Alligator mississippiensis: one gene and its partner. The protein of the gene in region 1 interacts with the protein of each later gene in a pairwise test. Links are inferred from orthologs where the notes say so. Each region holds a gene or a part of one and is shown on either strand. Other genes may lie near its edges.

Region 1 (3,749 bases):
ATCACTACAGCCCAGTCAAGACCGGGAAGGCTCCCAACAGCTTGTCCAGAGGAGGGTCTCACTGGGGAATGCCCCCCTGCCCCTCCAGTCTCATCTGCCCTTAATCCCCCAGAGCCCACGCTTACCTCTTGTGCCCCTCACTTACACAAAACTGGGGGTTTAACCACACTCAGCTGCCCCCGTGCTCACAATTATCTCACGGTGAGCAAGTGCTAAACCCAGTAATGTGGCCCTGTTTTATTTGGGGACAACTAGTTTAGGCCTCACCATGGGACAAGGCTGGGGGCAGGGAGGTAACACGGAGCGGCCAAGTTGCGGTAAATTCTCCGTGAACGACGGACACGTGAACAGCAATAACTGCATGAATGGAGTTGCATGGAATTACGTGACTGTGAGGGCAAAAAAAGGTTAGGGCTGTCTCCTCCACCCATGCCTCCGCTGCCATCTTAGCATGAATGACTCAGATCTGCTCCTCCAGCCCTGACCCATCTCATCTTGGCCCATATCTCAGACATCTCTATGTCAGCACCAGCTTTCTGTGGCTGAACTCCGGATCCTGCCCCCACCACTGCTTCCAGAGCCTTCTCATCACTCGGGTGTGTAATCAAGGAGTCATCTCGGACTTCCCCCTCCCTTTATTTCAAGCAAGTTTTATTCTGATTTCACCTCAGCTGGGCAGGAACTGTTGTGAGCAAACCAAAGTGCAAACCGACTGGATCTTCCCTTCAACACAACTCCCCCGCTGGCTCCCCACGCCATTCCAACGCAAGGTATAGTTCAAGCAGCCGATTCCCCCTACCTGCAAGGCCCTGCTTCCTCTCTATTCCCCCTCACTGCCACATGCTCCTTCCCAAGCCAAAGTCAGTCTCATGCGGCCCTCCTTCTGCATTCCCCCTCACGCCTGGCGACTCTGAGCTCTCACCCCCTCTTCTCAAGTAGATCCCCACACGCTTTGCAGGGCAAGTGCTGCTTCCCTGACCTGCTACCTGGTCTCCTTGATCCCTTTCCTGGAAGCCAGAAGATCCACAGGAAACAAGCAAGCTGGAGGGAAACAGGTGGCACTTTCTATTAGTTGGGGTAGTGGTGGAAGGGAATTATCAATACGTACGAGCCATAAAAATCGCACCTACTGGCTATTTATCGCTCCCCCTGACTCTGCCTATGCCCCGCACCTTCTCGGACTACAAGCGTGACTGTCACCATCCTGCACCAAACCAAGGGTCTCCAGTGCTGAAAGCCTGTGCCGCTGGGACCAGAGGAGAGCATGCCCTGGATGGGTCAGCAACACATACAACTCTTTTGACGCACACCTCTCCCAGTACGGCACCTATCACACAAAGGCCCCAAACACTGGTGACCACAAAACAAGCACGAATTACGCACTTTATCACCCTTCGGCAACGACTCGAACTCCTCCCTAACCCACAGCGCGGGGAGGCCAGGTCTGAAGCTAAGGTCTGCATTCAAATCATAGCACAGCACTCAAAAGGGGCTTCTTCACTTCCCCCTCTCCCAGGGGCAACTCATTAGGGCAGGATGACGCTTCCAGGTGGACTCGTTGATGTGGCATCAGCCGCTCTGCATGGGATCAGCAGCCCAGCGGATGCCTGGGAATTAAGGAGCCTCCACGTCCCCTCAGCCCAGCTCCGTCACCTGTCTCCAGCTGTGGCCAAATCCCTGCTGCTTCCAGAGGCAGCACCAGGAGAGACAGACGGAGTCCAGTTCCCGGCTCTCAGGTTTACGCAACGCCGAAGCAGGCGGCACCGTTACACCACTTTGCCTTCGGACAAATTACTCACCCAGGTTGTTAAAAACCCTGGAGTCTCCCACACCAGCCTCGTGCCGAGGGCAGCGCAGGGCTTCCCGGCGCCGGGTCCCAGTTCTAGGTCTGTGCAGCGCTGGAGTATCCTAAATTGACCTCCCTTTCCTTTCGCTTGGGAGGAGGGAGGAGCAGGTCCAACTGCCCTCGAGGGGTGCCAATAAACGCCGGGCACCAGGCAGAGGAGAAGGAGTCACCTACCACGCGGCAACGGGATACGGCGCTCGCGCCCACGCAGCTCAGCCACGAGTCACTGGCACCCACGGACGCGCCCCGCGCCCTCCCACGACGCCCCGCCACGCGCCAGTCCCCAACGGGGCTCCCTTCGCAGCGCCGCGGGGCGGTCTCCCTACCTCATGCTGTAGGCCCCGGCGCCCAGCTCCTGCCCGATGCCCGAGAGGCTGGCATCGAAATCCTGCACCAGCCCCGACTCGATCACCTCGTCCGCCAGCGGCAGCTTCAGGGCCCACGCCATCCTGGCCGCTCCGGGGGGTCAGCGCACAGCGAGCCCCCACGGGGCCGGCCACCCCGCAGACGCCCCCCTAGTCCCAAGGCACGTGACCCGGGGGGGGGGGGACCCCGGCCCCACCGCTACCACCACCCCTGAGGGCGTTCCGGGGGCGCTGTCCTGCCCAACAAGCGGGGCTCCCAGCACCCCAGCCTTGCTCCCGCCCCGCCCCGCCCCGCCCCTGCAAGGGATATTAGCCCCCCGGCACCCCCCACCCCCACGGATTTTAACCCCTCACACCCCGTCACCCTCAGGGGACGTTAACCCCTCGCACCCTGAGGCCCAGTCTTTCCTCCCAGGAAATTTAACCCCTCACACCCCCCCTCCTAGGGAAGTTAACCCCTCACACCCCACGGCCCAGTCTTTCCTCCCATGGAAATTAACCCCTCGCACCCCAGGGCCCAATTCCCTTCCTACCACAAGCCCGGCCCCCGGAGCGCCCGTTCCCCGCGAGGCCCCGGGCGCAGCTCGGCGCCCCCGGCGGCCCCCGCAATATGGAGGCGGCAGCGTCGCGGACCCCCCACGCCAGCCCGGCCGGGAACACGCCCCGCCCCCGTCTTCCGCCCGCGGCCAATGGCGACGCCCCTGGCCGCCCGACGCGCACGCGGCGCCGGCCAATCGCCGCTCCTCTGGGGGCCGCGGCCCGGGGGAGCCGCGCCGCGATTGGCTACGAGCGCGGGGCGGGGCGGGGCCGGCGGGGTGACGGGACTCGGCGTGGTGGGGACCAGGTTCGGCCTCCTCCCCCCTCCCTTGGAGCCGCGAGTTCGAGTCCGGCCCCGCCCCGGGGTGTTAACCCTTCACGCGCCTGGCCGCAGCGGGAGGGCATTGCCAACCTGTGCACGTGCAGATGCTGCCCGTGTGCAGTGCGCATCCCTCCCTTTGTGGCTGCCTGTCTCCCAGCACCCAAAAAGCTCCCCCCCCCTTACAGAATTAAACCCTGATGATTTGGGGATTAAAAAAACAGGCCTGATCTCTGCCTCCCTCCTGCCTGGAGAGCACCGGTCCGTGCAACCCTCCTTCCCGCCAGCCTCGAAAATCATCCGGGCTCCTAAATTTAGCAAGCTCTGAATTTTTTTTTTTTTTTTTTTTTGGGGGGGGGGGGGGGTCATTTTTCTCACCACCTTGCAAAAAGGATGTGGACCAGGATGCCATCTGGTGGCGAACCCTGCTCTGCAGTCCCAGCCCGACCTGGGGGTGGGGGGTCCAGTCTGGCCTGGGGGGCGCAGCAGGTGTCTGGGTGCGCGCGGGATGCTTCGGCAGCGCCGGCCGCTGCGGGGCACGCGGCGCCCGGCATCGGGTCCCTGAAAGCCGAAGACAGTCGTGGAAACAGATGGAAATAGTTTTCAGATCACCGTTTTATCCCAGCGGGGCCGCGAGTTGGGTGCACTTTTGCAAATCTACCACTGCCGCCAGCCAGCACAT
Region 2 (3,749 bases), on another chromosome or scaffold:
AGAGGCGGAACAGGATCTTGGAAACATTATTGACTCCAAGATGAACATGAGCTGCCAATGCCAGACCACAGCCAGCAAGGCCAGCCAGACCTTGTCATGCATCCAAAGGTGCATCTCAAGCCAGTCCAGAGAGGTGATACTCCCCCTCTATGCAACTTTGGTCAGACCACAGTTGGAGTAGTGCGTCCAGTACTGGGCGCCGCACTTCAAGAGGGATGTGGCCAGCCTGGAGAGGGTTCAGAGGAGGGCCACCCACTTGGTGAGAGGGCAGCAGGATAGGCCCTGCGAGGAGAGACTGAAGGATCTGAACCTGTTCAGCCTCAGCAAGAGGAGGCTGAGGGGGGGACCTGGTGGCTGCCCACAAACTCATCAGGGGAGATCAACAGCAAATAGGTAGAACCCTTTTCTCCCAAGCACCACCTGGGGTGACAAGGAACAACGGTAAAAAGCTGATGGAGAATAGGTTTAGGTTAGAGATCAGAAGGCAATTTTTTACAGTAAGGGTAGCCAAAATCTGGAACCAACTTCCCAGGGAAGTGGTCCTCACCCCTACCTTGGGCAAATTCAAGAGGAGGTTGGATGATCACCTGTCTGGGGTCTTGTGAACCCAGCATTCATTCCTGCCTGTGGCAGGGGGTCAGGCTACATGATCTGTTCAGGTCCCTCCTGACCCTAGCTACTATGAAACTGTTTCATTTAAAATACATGAACAGTGTAGCGGCAGAGACCAACCCTCCCCCCACACAAATTGCCTAACTACTCATTTACGTAGTCATGCTGTCTTCAGAATCATGCTCCCTTTTGCTCTCCTCAAGGCACTGTGAATCTTGCTTCACTGTGGGCACATCTACACATGCCATTAATGCACTGTAAGCTTACTGCACCTTGAAGTAATGTCTTAAAGTAAGGCGCAGTAAGCTTTCCTCGGAAGCGCATTTACATGTGCACCCATTGGGAGCAAGTTTGCTCCCAATGGGAGCAGCTCAGTGCAGGGCTACTCCTGCTCTGCTCTGCCTCTCTACAGCAGCCAGAGGGAGCTCCAGGCTCTCCTGGGTGCCCACCCCAGGCTGTCACAGTGCACCAGGGGCTGGCCGGGTTCTGGAGATGAGGGGAGCTGTTAGACGATCAGGGTGTGGGGTTCAGCAACTGTCATTCCTCCAAGCAGTTGCTTCCCAGCCCTATGCCCCAATCTGCTGATTGGAGCACAGGGCTGGGAGACAGCTGATCAAGGGAGGGGACAGTTCCCCTGCCCCCTGCTGCCTGGCCTGACCAGAAGCAACTTGCTCCTGGTCATTTGTCTACATGTGCACTACTGCACACTAGCTACTGCACAGTTAATCTACAACCTGTATCTACAGGTAGTAGCCAACCATACAGTAGACTAATTTACTGTACAGTAACTGCTGCACAAGTGTAAATGGTGATGCTTTACTGTGCAGTAGATTAGTCTACTGCACAGTAAAGTGTCTATATAGAGGTGGAGCATGTTCTCACTCAATTTAGCACATAACCTAATAATAAATAAGGCATGTTCTAAGAAGATATGCATTTGAATCTTCTTAGGCTGATGAGGAAATTGAACCAAAGTTTCCTGTTCTTTGTAGTATGCCACTACCACCTCCTCATCCTCCTCATACAAGGAGTGAACTCTTTTCAGTTCTTTCAAACAATACTTGTAGGTGCTTACCATTATGAATGGTTCTGAGCTGACGCCACTGTTGCAGCCTAACTCTTGGAGACAGATGAGAGTTCACAATTGTTTTACTGAGAAGCCGTGTAAGGAGCATCTCTCCTAGAACAGTTTAGGGGATCACCCTTGACCTTTCATCATAATTCTGTTGTCTATAAAATGCCTAGAGACTGTGTAGGAAAAGCCTCCCCTCAAGACTTCAGCTGGAACAGAGCTTAGTGTTGTCCATCACAAAATGTGTCTCATTTTGGTTTTGTTGTGGTATCCCCTGTGTCTGACCTACCTTGAGTTAATTTACTTTCTCTTCATTCAAACTTTTGGGAAAGGCAAATGTTTCTAATCTGTAGCATCAGCAAATATGCTGTAAATATGTTTCTGCAGGGGTAATGTAGTCAGTGTGCTGGCTTTATATATTCTTAATCTTCCTGGGTTCATCTAAGTATATCTTGTGCTTGGTTAGAACTGTTCTCAGGTATTGAGAATTCTTGTCAGCTTCTAGCATTTGAAATCAAGGTCAGACATAAAGCTGTGCACTGGTAGAGAAGAGTTGCCAATCTGCTGGAATTTCAGAGTAGACACGTCCAGAGTTTATAAAGGCAAACAGCTTAGGTCAGATTTTCATTCCTGGATTATTCCAAGAGAGACTGCCAGAGTACATGAAACCAGATTGCCCAGCTCAGATTTTCATTCTTGAATGGAGATTTGGATTTCAGCATGTACATCATGCAGGAAAATTCTTATAAGAAAACTACACATGTCCCCTTCTTTGAGAGATTATGCACTTTTTTGGATCAAATCTGAAAGCTGTGTCTTAAAAAAACCAGAAAATATGTGTGCTGTATAAGGCTGAACTGTTTTAACAGAAGCATTTATAGTGATGCTTTCTTTATTGTATGTTCATTTTAACAAATTTCCATAAGGAAAACTCTCTTTTATCTCTGCTGATGCTAAATGAACTCATTTTTGTCCTCATGTTACTTTACCTTTCACAGAGTAAACAGTAAATAATGTAAGTGATAAATTAGATACTGAAATGAAAGAGCATATAAAAGGTACACCTAATTTTTGGCTAAGTGTGTTTCATTCTGTTTTGATCAAATCAAGAAAACCTAGATAATTATCTGTGTTACAAATGCAGCAAAACTTACCTCCATATCCTGCTCTTTTTGCTTTGGCAGATCTTCGATATAGATCTGGCTGTTGATGGGGTTTCCATCCATGCCTACCATACCGTCCATATCTGGCATGCATCTCAGTGAAGTGAAATGCACATGACAGTCTGGCTTTTTCAGTGTCATGCCACCTAGTATATTAAATTCTTCAATCAAAAACACAGTATGACAGATTTTTCTTGTACTGCCAGGTACACTGCATATAGTATAAAGGCAACCCCTGCTTAATGCTGTTTCACTTAGCGCTATTTCACTATAACGCTCATTTGAAATTTATACCTGATTTCACTTAGCGCTCAGCGAGTTTCATTATAACGCTCTTGGTCACCATTTTGGGTCATTAAGAACAATTGTGGTCGCCATCTTGGGTTGTCAAATACTTTTGGTTTCTCTTCATGCTCATTTCACTTAACGCTCAGTTTTTCAGGAACCAATTAATGCTAAGTGGGGGTTGCCTGTACTGAAATTTTCACAATTTCTTTCTTTGTAATAAACTTCTACTCTGTTTTTGCTTCTCTCACATGCTGTTTAAATAAAATGAGGTGTAATTTTTTAATTAGTAAGGAATAATAATGGTGGATTATTTATGTATTACTATGTAAGAATGTGTATGCTCATTTTGCATTTTTATAGCATTATATCTTCAATGTAAACTAGCCTTAATGCTAGTCTGGTTGACCATGGAAAGATCACCCTATTCTCAGTGGATCCTTGAAAGTTTTACAGCTATCATACTAACTTTTATGCTTCTAGTTGCTGGCATCAGGTAGTATGGCCAGGTCTTCTCTGCAAATCAGCCATTCTTAAATACCATGTTGACCAGAGACTATGATGGCAAATGATATAAATTAAATTAAATCAGCCTTGGTAATATTCTAGTTTATAGC

The links. The genes of interacting proteins can lie anywhere in the genome.
Region 2: the proteins of TFCP2 (region 1) and carbonic anhydrase 1 interact in binary tests that used the Homo sapiens proteins (3 or more experiments, as listed by UniProt). The two-hybrid records come from large-scale screens. The link is inferred for Alligator mississippiensis from reciprocal best matches to the Homo sapiens genes TFCP2 and CA1.

Annotation. Positions count from the first base shown.
Region 1 is NC_081838.1:10,255,436-10,259,184, reverse strand, and holds the start of TFCP2 (alpha-globin transcription factor CP2), read right to left. Parts: upstream 2,491-3,749; 5' UTR 2,295-2,490; coding exon 2,173-2,294; intron 1-2,172.
Region 2 is NC_081826.1:50,075,998-50,079,746, reverse strand, and holds the start of carbonic anhydrase 1, read right to left. Parts: upstream 2,920-3,749; coding exon 2,839-2,919; intron 1-2,838. UniProt on the Homo sapiens protein: Catalyzes the reversible hydration of carbon dioxide. Can hydrate cyanamide to urea.